Sus scrofa: one gene and its partners. The protein of the gene in region 1 purifies or fractionates together with the protein of each later gene. This does not show direct contact. Links are inferred from orthologs where the notes say so. Each region holds a gene or a part of one and is shown in the gene's direction. Other genes may lie near its edges.

Region 1 (4,280 bases):
GTTTTTGTTTTTTTGCAAAATAGGCGAGGCAGTCACATTTCTTATCCTTCTGATTAAAATTACAGCCCAGATTATGATTTTGGTGATTTGGGAAATAAGATGTTTTCTTAAACAGACCAAAATGTACTAAAATTTGTGTTTTGCAGCTTGATGATGTATACGAGGACAGTATTTTGGCTTCCTGTGAGGTGTTTGGTATTTAGGAAGTTTAAACTACTACCCCCCAAAAAAGAGTAAAAGGCAAGCCATATAGTATGCTCACACTCAGAATATATAAAGAAATCTTAAAAGGAATAAGAAAAAAGAAAACCCACTAAGAAAAAAAATGGGAGAAAGACTTGAATGGGCACTTTGTAAAAAAATATCAGAATGGACAATATGCTTAACTATTATTAGAAAAAAGCAAATGAAAGCAATAGTGCACTGGTACTCACCAGAATTGCTAAAATTATGAAGACTGACAGTGCAAATGAGGTTAATGTTGGCAAGTGATGGAAACCCTTACACACCACTACAGTGTGGAAATGATTCCAGCCTCTTGGAAGTTATCATCAGGCAGTACCTATCAATAATACCACACACTTTGTCTCCTTAGTTTCACTCCTGGAAAAGTTCAGGCACAGGTGCATGCGATCCACGTACAACAAAATTCATAGCAGCATTATGCAGACTAGCCCCAAGCTGGAAACAAACCTAATGTCCATCGACAGCGAAATGGATTGTTATGGTGTAAGAGACGCAATAGAATTCTATACAGCAGCAAGTAAGCAAATCATTGCTGCCTGCAACCTGGATGGATTTTAGGCATGACACAGAGCCAAAGAAACCAGATACAAAAACAGATTGCATCATTCTCTTTATATAAAAGTAAGCAAAACTAATCTATGGTGACGGATTCGTAGTTCCCTTTGGGGAATGAAGGAGTCTCCGAATTTCAGGACCCCAGCAGCAGCCACCCAAATGTGCTCACTCTGTGGGCATTTGTCATGTTGCAGACTTTAGATCTGCACACTTCCTGTGTTATCAGGCTTCAGCATGAATATCTAATTGTCTAGAGAGGGCAGGCCTGACTGCAAACTAGACCAGTGCGGAAGACCCAGGCTTGGTCTTCATGGTGTCACCCGGATGCCAAAGCCCGGGACCCATCACTGAATCCCATGGGCGGAGTGAAAGCAGTCACTGCCTCCCTTTCACCTCTAGGTGTCCTGACGCACGCGAAAGTTCCACTCGTGGGCTTTCACTCTTTATTAACTTGCGGACACAAATATCTGGACTCGGGGGCACTGCAGGCCGAAGCTGCACAAGAGGAACGAACTCAGAACCAGATGCGCCGCGGAGAGCGCGGGAGCTAAAGCCCAAAAGCTGTGCCCGAGCCCGGGGGCGGGGCCGATCACGGAGGAAATGGCTCCTCGATTGATTAGGCCTGGGAGCCGCGCTGTTAGCACACGCCGGAAGCGATTGATGCTGCCTGGCGGCGGGCGCGGGGTACGCCGGGACGTCGGTGCGGCGGGAGGAGCGGGAGACACTGCAGGCGGGAGGCGACAGGATGGTGAAGCTGACGGCGGAGCTGATCGAGCAGGCGGCGCAATACACCAACGCCGTGCGGGACCGCGAGCTGGACTTGCGAGGTGAGTCGGGCGGGGGCGGGCGGCCCGGCCTCCCCGCCCGCTCGGCGGCCTGCGCCCGCCGCGTGCGCGAAGGGCGGGAACGTGGCCTGGGGCGTGCGTCCCGGTTCCTACCCCGGCTGAGTCCCGCTGTCGTCGGCGAAACGCCGACCCTGGACTCCTTCGAGGCTCTCCTTAGCCCAGCCCCCACCGCCCGGGACCGCCTCGATGCTTGGGTCAGACCGCGGGGCCGGTGCCGGGCCTGCCGAGTGACCTGAGCCGTTGGGGGGCGGGGAAGTACACGCCTGCGGGGTGGGCTGAGCCGTTGGGGTGCTGAGCCGTGTTTGTGATCCTCGTGCGGACCGAGATACGGTAAAGTGAAGTCATGAGAATATAGGTTGGGTATGGGACGGAGGAAGTGAAGTCCGGAGCAAAAGCGATTTTTTTTCCCGGCTTTTCCTCCTCCTTAGCTTCAAGGATCTATTTCCCTTTTGCCAAAACCTTTCAAAGAGCAGACTGTTTCAGCCACGCTAGGGCTGCCGGATGTCTTGCGTCTATAAGGGAGGCGGAAGTCCTCCAGACTATTAGATTCCTGTGGCAACTCGTCTGCATAGTAGGAGAGGCTTTAGAAAGGGTGTGAAGGACGACTTCTCCGGGGTTAAGTGTTGGCTTGAGATCCACCCCCACGGGGGAGAACACCGTCTCAGGAGCAGCACTGCTGCGGGCCCTGCTTTCTGCTTGCTTTTTTGTTTGCTGACATAGTACTTTCGTTTTGTTGAAATTAAATATCATAGGTTCGACTCAAGAGTAACCCACCGCTTTCATACTCTTGGCACAGGCTGATGTCTGCCTGAGTTTGAAGTGCATCCGGTGTTGAGAATGCTCGTTTTGGTACAGCACTTAACTTTGAGCCTTTAGAGCTCTGAAATGTGTACTTATTTAACCTTGCCTAGGTTAACTTCTTTTCTTCTCCTAGCACCTAAGACAATAATTATGCCCCTAGAAGACAAATCAGTGAGCGTTTGAGTGAGTTGTTCACAAGGTGATTTACCATTGTGTACAAATTGACCTTCAACTCTGGGTTGGGCCTCTGGGAGGTGAGAGAAGTGGGAACTGTCATGATACGAAGATATCCAAATGAGTTCTGGGAATCTGACCTGTGGAAATGCAAAAAAGGTTGGGAGCTATTACTGTCCACAATACGTGGACAAGGCTTGGACACTGACAGTAGGCAGCTCACAGTGTAAAGTCCTGTTAGGCCACTTCATTAGCTTTGGGGCCTTGCTTAGAACAATACAAGGCACCTTGTAAGTATACTTGGAAATGTTAGCTACCTATTAGTATTACTGTTAGCGAGTATTCTCATCTTTATTGCCCTTGTAATCAACCAGTGCTTTGGCAGTGTTTGGCACAGCATAGGTGCTAGATAAACAACTTTCTGATTGAATGAAAGCTTTGAGTCCAATTACCATGAAATGCTGCTAATGTTTCCTTGTGTGTTTTTTCCCTCCTTTCTCCAGGGTACAAAATTCCTGTCATTGAAAATCTAGGTGCTACCTTAGACCAATTTGATGCCATTGATTTTTCTGACAATGAAATCAGGAAACTAGATGGTTTTCCTTTGCTGAGAAGACTGAAAACATTGTTAGTGAACAACAATAGAATATGGTAAGTGTCTACTAGTGGAAAGTAATTTTTGTTCCCCTAGAGTAAATGTAGCAGAGTTCCATAAAGAAGTTGCAGTATTGCCAGTTACACCTACGTATTTCTTAAATGGAAAATGAACTACACTTTTCCCATACAGATCCAGAGATGAATTTGGTATTGGTCTGGTCTTACTTGCATCTATTCAGAAATCTTGTATTATTTATGTATTCATGGTACATTTCTAATTTAAGTTAAAAACCTACTGCTTTGGGGAGTTCCCATTATGGCTCAGCAGGTTAAGAACCCAGCTAGTATCCATGAGGATCTGGGTTCAATCCCTGGCTTTGCCTGGTGGTTTTAGAATCTGGCATTGCCATAAGCTGCGGCATAGGTAGCAGATGTGGCTCGGATCTGGCATTTCTGTGGCTGTAGTGTAGGCCGGCAGCTTTGGCTTTCATTTGACCCCTAGCCTGGGAACCTCCATATGCTGTGGGTGCAGCCTTAAAAAGACACACAGACACACACACACACACACACAATAGAAGTGCTGGGTAGTGAGTTGCTTTTTTTTAAATGCCCATTATTTCTCGTGAGTTAACTATTCCACTGTGGTTTGCTTACTGGCTTATCTTGTGCCTGAGCTCTGACTGCAGAATCACTTATGTTTTTGGGCTTCACACAGGTCCTGAGATGAACTAAGTAGTCTGTTTTACACAGGAATTTCTTGTCTTTGGTTTCGTTAAGATAGTGTGGCAGTAGGAAGGGCCCTGGACATCTTTCAGGAGATGTGGGTTTTAAAGTCATCCTACTTCTGTCACCTGTGTGACCTCAGACAGTTCTTTTTGTGCCTTATTTTCCTGTCAGGGTCTTGGAAGAAAGATCTCTTAAGTTTCTTCCCACTCTGAAGCCCTCTGAGCAAGGGCTCAGATAAAATTTTTAGCTGACTTAATTTGCATGTTTACTAAGAGTCCTTCTGTTTTTATTTCAGCCGTATAGGTGAGGGACTTGATCAGGCTCTGCCCTGTCTGA
Region 2 (4,156 bases), on another chromosome or scaffold:
AAAGAGCCTTGTCGAGATCTCCCAGTGTTCATGTCTCATTTTTCGACTGACCATCCAAGCCATGTCCCCAACACTGATGAGGGTGTAAGAACCTGGACTAACCAGGGCAGCCGAGCGCAAACTGCAGTTCGAGCAGGAGGTGGGGACTCCAGCTGAAACTGTGGCCTGCCTGGGAAGCCTCGCTTCTTCCACCTCTGTTCTGAGGGAGACTGGCTGCTCTCCCACTGGAAAAAACTGGACTCAGGCACTCTGCAGAGGGGTGGAAAACTTCAGGGCGTCGGTAACGTTTTCGCCCTAACACGTATATGATACATCTCAGGTTCCCTAAGAGAAAAAGCTCATCGCCCCCTTACAGGCGGGGGATGGTAACAAAAAATCATCCCCGGGGTGCAGCCGCCCGGTTCAACACTGTCTGCGGCGGGCAGAAGCTGCGAACAAGACCGCCTACTGGCCGGGCCTAAGGCTCAAGCCCTGAGCCAGACGCTGGGCTCTGGGGTTCCCGGGATGTCCGCTGGCCGGGGTCTGGGCGGGGTGGTAGAGGTCTCCCGGGTGCGGAAGGACAGGGGACGGCAATCACCTGGGAGCCGCAGGGTCCCTGGGCTTGGGACCATCGCCTCCCAACATGGGGAGACAAAATGGCCGCGTGAGGGGAAGGCGAAGCTACTTAAGGGTTCCGCGTCCTCCTAGAACTACAACTCCCAGGATACCCTGGGACGAAGTCGGGAGGTCAAGGAGAGCCCTCGCGCTGGCTATGTGGCGATAGGCCCTATGTCTTCCGCCTCCCAGCGGAAACTGTCGAGAATGCGTTGCTTGCATTCTCGGTCCGCTCCTCCGACCGCGTCGGCAACGGGCCGACGGGAATCATAGTTCTTCGACAACGGAGTTGCCCTTCCCTCGGGCCTTAATTAACTACACTTCCCGGTGCAGTCTCGGCGCCTGCGCACAAGGCCGTGGAGAGTACTACGGCTCCCGGCGTGCCCTGCGACGCGCGCGGTAGCGTGCTGACGTTCTTAGTCCGTCGTGCTGACGTGCAGCGCGGCCCAGGCGGGGTGCGAGTGGCGCAGTCGGAGCCCGCTGCGGCCCCTGAGGAAGCGAGGAGGCGTCTGTGTCGGCTGAGACGGGCGGACCGGGGAGGCAAGGCGGCGACTCCAGGCGCCGAGGGACTCAGGACCTCGAGCGGCGGCGGCGGCAACAGCTCTCCCCCTCGGAAGCGGCGGGCGGAGGCGGCGGCGGCGGGTGAGGGAGCGCGCGAGCCGGGTGGGGGAGGGGCGGCGGCCCCGGCGCTAGGCCAAAGCGCGCGGAGAACGGCTCAGGCCGCCGCGCGCACGCGCGCTGGCCACCCCTAGCTCGTGCGGACGTTCTCGCTTGCCTGCCTTCCCTTCCCCCTCCTCGGGGTTCTTACCGCGCGCGGGTCTTTATTCCTCCTCCCCTCCCCCATGGTAACGGCGCGCGCCGCCGACTGCCCTCGGCCTCGCGCGCGTTCTCGGCGAGGAGGGGGGAGCGCGCGACTCGGCTTCCCGGCTCCCCAGCGCGTGCGGCCGGGAGGCCCTCCTGCAGCTGTCCTTGCCGACATTTTCTCGGCGGGGAGGGGGCGGCGGCGGCGCGCCGGGGGGGGGCGCTCCCGGCTCCTCACCCCTGAGCCTCTCGGTTTGGTCAACCCGTCCCTCCCGGAGGCTTGTGGTCCGGCCTTGAGCCTCCCAGACTACGGGGCGCCGCTCAGCCCCCTCCCTCTCCCTCAAGGCCGAAAATAGGCCCTGGTGGCTCAGCCAGTGCAGAGAAGGCCTTGAACTTAAACGCCCAAGAGATTTAAGACAGTTCGGATGCGTTACTCTCTGTCTTGAAGCGTTAAAAAAGGGAAACGTTTAGGAAAAAAGTCCTTCAGTCTAGGTACGTAGAGGCAGGCCATGTACTGCTTTCTCAGTTTTTCTTTTGTTTCTTTCGCTCCTTCTCTTTCTTTCCTCTTTCCCCGTGTTTTGTTATTTACCAAAAAGTTATGTTAAAGTTAGGGAAGAGGCTGCCAGCCTCAGGAAACGCTGGACTTTGTCTTCATTTGGCGCCCAAGTCTTCTAGTTTTTGGTTTCCTCTCAGACGCCTCTTTAAGATATATTTTGGGTCGAAAAATTGAGAAAGTGTTTTGTGTTTTTTTTCTTCTCCTGAGTGTGTGAGTTTGGATTTCTTCCTGAGCGAGTATTTTCGTTTTCTGGGCTGCCTAGTGTCCACTCAGCTACCACACTGCTCCTGTACTGAGCTTATTGCGCTGTTACTCAGGTCCATTTTTCTGCACACTCCCCACCCCTTTTGGTGCATTTCTCTTCTTAAATACCGTATTATTGGATTTTGAAACTCCTTTCTGCTTAGTTAGTTTGGTACTGTGATGATTTTCCAACAGTAAAAAAACCTCCCTTTCGTCTTTCTTTGCAGCTTGCTTTTGCTTTTTTGCCGCATGCTTGGGTGATGATTTTTTGCATATGCACAGACTGCGAACCCCAGTTTAAGAATCCTTATGTGGTTTTGATGATCTGTGTGTGTTGTTGATACACTTTTTTGTCTATTCGTTCTTAAAATGTTTTGAGCGCCGTCTTGAATGGTGTGTTTGTGGCTTCGTTATTGGCTCATTCCCTATAAGCGTTCCCATCTGTTGTGACTTAATAGATTTTAAAGTGCACGCTTATCATCTACTGGTTTTCCTTCTCCAGGGAGTGGGAGGATTATTGTGTGAGGAGGTATGGAAGTGTGGGTGAATGGTTGAGTTGAAGAATTAATTGCAGATCAGAAGCGTTCTGCAAGGGAAGCAGAAACCAAGTAGGGTATAGAAAGCCAAAGAGGACTTAGGTTTAGAGTGGGGCGGAGAAAAATAACAAAAAAAAAGATAAAAATGGAGGTTGAAGGATTTCATATGCTATAAAGGTTTTCATTTATTTTCATATAGTTCCACTGACTTTTCGTAGATTTAGCTTTATGTGTCACTCCTTTACCCCAGTAGGGATTTTTTTTTTTTTTTCCCTCCAGAGTCTGCAATTGGGATTGAACAGAGTCCCAACCTTAGAGTTGAGGGTTAAGGGGCTCCAAATTGTTAGAGTTGGGCCATTGCCATTTCAGTCAACATCTCTCTCCACTTAGGTGTGGGGAGGGCTTTTAGTACCTTCATCCAGATGTTCCTTCTGGGGGTTTCTAAAATGAAGCCTTCCCTTTTATCCAGTTATATATATTTTTTTTCCCCTCTGCTTTCACTACTTTCTCCCTTTGTTCCTTGGGTTCGTTCCTGGGGTTGTTTCCCTCACACATTTCCCCTGTGAAAACTACCTTTGACAGGATGAGTTGGAGAAAAAAAATATATAGCAGGAGAAAGGAATAGAGTATATTTAGCCAAGAAATTTAATCAGAAAAACTAGGGTTTGAGGGCTCTTCAGAGCCACACCCGGGTTGGGACAGGTTGAGAGGGTAGAAGTTCTGGTGGCAGGTGCAGGATGATGAGTGAGAGGGCGAGGAGGGCTGGAGGAGGAAGCCAGGAAGTGAGGTCCTGGGACTCTTAGGGAAAGCTGATGTAACGAATGTGAGGTACGAAGAGTGGGAGTTTTCTGAGTAAGGGTAGGGGAAGGAATGTAGAGAAGGGGACAGTTGAAACAGGGCAGGCTAGTTTGATGTGTTCAGAGAATTGAGTTGAAAATTAATATTTATCAGGAACTGGTGAGACTTGGGAGCCACACACCACACGAGAAAGCCTGTTGGGAAGGAATCCACGTCAGTTGGGATAGTTAATAGGAAGCGGCCCCTTGTCTGGGAGGTGAGGTGTGAGGGTTATATACAAATCAAGGTTCATGTGTTTCGGATGTTCGTGCTGGCCTTTAGTCTGGGCCACTTGTTTGAATACTTAGGGGCTATTTAGTCGATTTGTATTCATAATTTCAGGGTACTTTCAGGGTAGCATGAAATCTTTAGGTCAATTCTTAGAACAGTCTTTAAACTTGGAATGCAGGCCCTTGGGTGCCACAGATCTTTCTTTGGTGTTTGTTGTGCCCAGTTTGGAGGCCTCAGTTGCCAGGGGTTAGGAGTTAGTTGGGCCAAGGGAGAATAAAAGGACAGTGTGGAGAAATTTGGGATAAATAGTATCTTTGGGGTGGGAAAAGAACGAGCTGCAAACAGGAATGGCTTTCAC
Region 3 (4,131 bases), on another chromosome or scaffold:
TGCTGAGATGCTGAGTAAGAGGAAGACAGAAGTTTGTATTGGGTTTTTGATCACCATTAGAAAAGCAATCTCAGTGTATTTGAAGATCGAATTACAAGGCAATAAAAACAAGTTATAGACAGCTCATTTAAGGAGGTTTTCTGTGGAAGAAATCTGGTGGGAGCTAGAGCTGCATGAGAGGAGAATTTTTTTTTTTTAAGACCTCACCTGCAGCAAATGGAAGCTTGAATCAGAGCTGCAGCTGAGGCCTACACTACAGCTACGGCAACACTGGATCTGAGCTGCATCTGTGAACTACGCTGCAGCTTGTGGCAACACTGGAGCCGTAACCCACTGAATGAGGCCAGGGATAGATCCCACATCCTCATGAATACTAGTCAGGTTCTTACCCTGCCGAGTTCCCACAACTGGCACTACAAAATTTTTTCTTTCTTCCTTTCCTTTTTTTCTTTTTCCATTTTTGGCCATCTCCGAGGCATATGGAGTTCCCAGACCAGGAATCAGATCCAACCTACAGTTGGAACCCACACTACAGCCAGCTGTAGCAATGCAGGGCTGGACATCAAACCCGCGTCCTGGAGCTGCAGAGATGCTGCCCAATCCTGTTGCGCCACAGTGGGAACTCGTTGCTTGTTTGTTTTTTAGATAAATTTATATGTTGATAGAAAAAATCAGTAGAGAAGGAGGAATTGATGATTCAAATTAGAAGGGGATCATTGAAGGAGTGAAATTCTTGAGGAAATGAGATGGGATCCAGACTACAACCAAGAGGAATTTGCTTTCCAAAGGAGCAATAATACTTCTATCGTTGTCACAGAAAGGGAAGCAGAAGGATGGCTTCTGTTTTCTAAAAGTAGGATACGTTAGAGAGTGATTTGGGAGAAGAACTGTAAAAGGTTTGAGATAAAGAGAAGAAAGAAGGTATGAAATACTTTGTGAGCTTATTAGAGAAGCATAACGATCTCTGGGCAGTGCAAGGGACACTTTTGAGGTTTGTGACCAGAATTTAAAGTGAAAATAATCAGTTAAATTGTATGATTTTCTTCAGCACATTAAGTAACGCTGAGATACCTGGTGGTGGAGCATAATCCTTTGGGATTCTCCAATTATTTCCTTTCATTCACGAGAAAATTTGGTGCTACATAATACCCGGAGCCTTGTTATGCTCGCTAATAGGATTTAATTTCCTGAAATACTCTCTCTTACAGGAAGTTTCCTCCTGGATCGGCCCTAAACGCCCTTAACAGTTGCAAGGCACACCTCCTGCCGCCAGAGGCCGCACTGGCGCTACTCGCGGCCGGAAGGGAGAGTGGCCCAAGCGCAGCCTCGGCGTTTCCGCCGTGAGTGCGCAGGGATCCGCGCGCTCTTTACGTCGATCCCCGGGAGTAAGCGTTTCCGGTCATTCATTCTCCCTGCGGGTCGGCCTCTGCGGTGGGGTTTTGTGTACTATCGGACCGAGAGGATGAAGCTCGTGAGGTGAGGAGGTGACCGAGCAGGGTGGGTACTATGAGGGGATGTCCTGGACCGGGAGCGGGGGGGTTGAGCTGCCCGAGATGCAGGAGGCGCGAAAGCCGCGTGCGCGCGCGGCCTGCTAACGGCCTTCGGCGCCCGCCGCTCCCGCCCCATCTTGGTCGCGTCGCCGCGGGCACTCGACCAGGCTTCAGACTGGGTCGCCCAGGGATCTGCGGGTCTTCCGAGAGGTTGAAGGCCGGGCGGTGTTTTCCCATCAGGTGTCTTAGAGGCCTTAAAAGTACAGAGCCAGGCTTACAAGCTCTTACTTTCGGTGAGTTACAGACTTCCGTTTCTGTTAGAACGTTTCTGGCTCGTCTCAGCACTCAGGAACCGGCAAATTTAACTAGGTCCACGCTTCCTGAGAACGTGGGAGACATAAAAATTGTACATCCTGCACAAGTAGTTTAAATTAATGCATATTTTTTAATGAAACTACCGTCACACTTAAAAGAGTACTTAGAAGCTGCAGGGGTTTATCTGGAGATAATGAAATCCAATTCCGAAGTATTTTAAATCAGGGATCAGGGATGGACTTCTGATTTCCTGAGGTTTTTTTTTTTTTTAATAGTGTTTTTTTTCCCTCTTGTTGTTATTCCCTAGCCTTAAGATTATTCAACTTACATTTCCCTTTAAAATAGCCCTTTGATTTAGGAAAAAACCTCTCAATATGGGGTAGAATCACTCTTCCGTACTTTTTGGCTGATTACACAGATAATCGAGATTTATTCTGTTTATTTCTGTATTTAAATTTGGTCGATTAGTTGAGCCTGCTGAAGACTCGTTTACTGGTTGAGCTAATTCATCACAAAAACTACCTGCAAATAGATTGAGTTCTGATGTTTCTCCTTGAGGCTGAGAGCCTGGAACATAGAAGCAGAGGCTTTTACAACTCAGCCGGCAGTTATAAACTAGCTTAACTAGTTTATTGTCTGTTGAGTCAAGAATTGTCAATGTCGACCAAATAGTTAAGCACATGGAGTTCTTGGACCAGGGAACACATCCTAGCTGCATTTGCAACCTACTCGGCAACTGCAGCAATGCTGGACTGTGCCGGTGGGGATTGAACTGGGGATCGAACCTGCATCCCAGTGCTCCAGAGACGCCAAGAATCCCAGTTGTGCTACAGCAGTAGCCCACCCCCCCCTTAAAGAGTCCTATGTTGTAGTAGCGTTCGTTTTGCAGAGAAGATAGACAAGAAGATAGTTTGAGATAACATAAAGAATCCTCATTGTCATATTCAGGCTGGTGTTTGTAGAGAAGGCATTTAAGATTGACTTTTTGTCTATTTTTTTCCCTTCCAGTTTTATTGAGATGTAACTGGCTTTCAGCATTGTGTAACTTTAAGGTATATAACATAATGATTTTTTTTGGCCGTGCCAAAGGCATGTGGAAGTTCCCAGGCCAGGTATCGAACCTGTGCCATAGCAGCAACCCAAGGCTGCAATGACAACACTGGATTCTTTCTTTATTGACCAGCTGCACCACGAGGGAACTCCCACAGCATAATGATTTGATTTACGTACATCATAAAGAGTGTAGTGAACATCCATCATCTCATGTAGATATAAAATTAAAGAAATAGACAAAAAAATTTTTTTTCTTCTGATGAGAACTCATGATTTACTCTCAACAACTTTAATATATAACATACAGCAGTATTGATTACATTTATCATATTGCATATTACATTTCTAGTTCTTACTTATAACTGAAAGACTTTGTCCATTTTATTTGAGGTATAACTTTGAAGGTAAACATCTCAGAACTTAAAGTTTATTTTTTTTTCTTTTTTTTAGGGTCACATCCACGGCATATGGAAGTTCCCAGGTTAGGGGTCTAATCAGAGCAACAGATGCCAGCCTACGCCACAGCCACAGCAACGCCAGATCCAGCCATGTCTGCAGTCCACACCACAGCTCATGGCAACGCCAGATCCTTAACACACTGATCGAGGCCAGGGATTGAACCTACAACCTCATGGTTCCTAGTCGGATTCATTGTAGCTGTATCCCGACAGGAACTCCTAAAGTTTATTTTCTTAATGTCTGAATACTTGCCAGTCAGAGTCTTAGTATAGATAATACTCTTTGGAGTCTTTTGTCCCACTTAACGATAGTCCATGTTGTGACAGAATTTTCCTATAAAATTTTTTTTTTTTTTTTTTTTTTTTTTTGGTCTTTTCTGGGGCCGCACCTTCGGCATATGGAGGTTCCCAAGTCTAATCATAGATGTAGCCACCGGCCTACGACAGAGCCACAGCAACTTGGGATCCAAGCCGCATCTGTGATCTACACCACAGCTTATGGCAACACCAGATCCTTAATCCACTGAGTGAGGCCAGAGATTGAACCCGAAACCTCATGGTTCCTAGTCGTGTTCGTTAACCACTGCACCACGACAGGAACTCCTCCTATAAATATTAATGCTGTACTGAATCCTATTCTGTGTCTTAGACTATAGAAGCAAAATTCCTAATAATTGGAGAATGTATTTTGCACTGGGAAAATGGGTTTTGTATAACTAGTTTGCTAGGGATCCAGTCTGAGCTATAGCCAATGGCCTGTTCCACAGCCACAGCAACATAGGATCTGAGCTGCGTCTGTGACCTATACCACAGCT

Evidence for each region.
Region 2: the proteins of SNRPA1 (region 1) and SRRM2 fractionate together in Homo sapiens (co-fractionation; 3 studies listed by BioGRID, with this or other methods). This does not show direct contact. The link is inferred for Sus scrofa from reciprocal best matches to the Homo sapiens genes SNRPA1 and SRRM2.
Region 3: the proteins of SNRPA1 (region 1) and SNRPD1 purify together in Homo sapiens (affinity purification with mass spectrometry; 4 studies listed by BioGRID and IntAct, counting the BioPlex papers as one, with this or other methods). This does not show direct contact. The link is inferred for Sus scrofa from reciprocal best matches to the Homo sapiens genes SNRPA1 and SNRPD1.

The regions. Positions count from the first base shown.
Region 1 is NC_010443.5:145,705,925-145,710,204, forward strand, and holds the start of SNRPA1 (U2 small nuclear ribonucleoprotein A'), read left to right. Parts: upstream 1-1,468; 5' UTR 1,469-1,546; coding exon 1,547-1,628; intron 1,629-3,124; coding exon 3,125-3,272; intron 3,273-4,239; coding exon 4,240-4,280. UniProt on the Homo sapiens protein: Involved in pre-mRNA splicing as component of the spliceosome. Associated with sn-RNP U2, where it contributes to the binding of stem loop IV of U2 snRNA.
Region 2 is NC_010445.4:39,274,271-39,278,426, forward strand, and holds the start of SRRM2 (serine/arginine repetitive matrix protein 2), read left to right. Parts: upstream 1-1,343; 5' UTR 1,344-1,887; intron 1,888-4,156. UniProt on the Homo sapiens protein: Required for pre-mRNA splicing as component of the spliceosome. As a component of the minor spliceosome, involved in the splicing of U12-type introns in pre-mRNAs.
Region 3 is NC_010448.4:106,796,883-106,801,013, forward strand, and holds the start of SNRPD1 (small nuclear ribonucleoprotein Sm D1), read left to right. Parts: upstream 1-1,318; 5' UTR 1,319-1,462; coding exon 1,463-1,476; exon of another isoform or gene 1,477-1,497; intron 1,498-1,708; exon of another isoform or gene 1,709-1,783; intron 1,784-4,131. UniProt on the Homo sapiens protein: Plays a role in pre-mRNA splicing as a core component of the spliceosomal U1, U2, U4 and U5 small nuclear ribonucleoproteins (snRNPs), the building blocks of the spliceosome.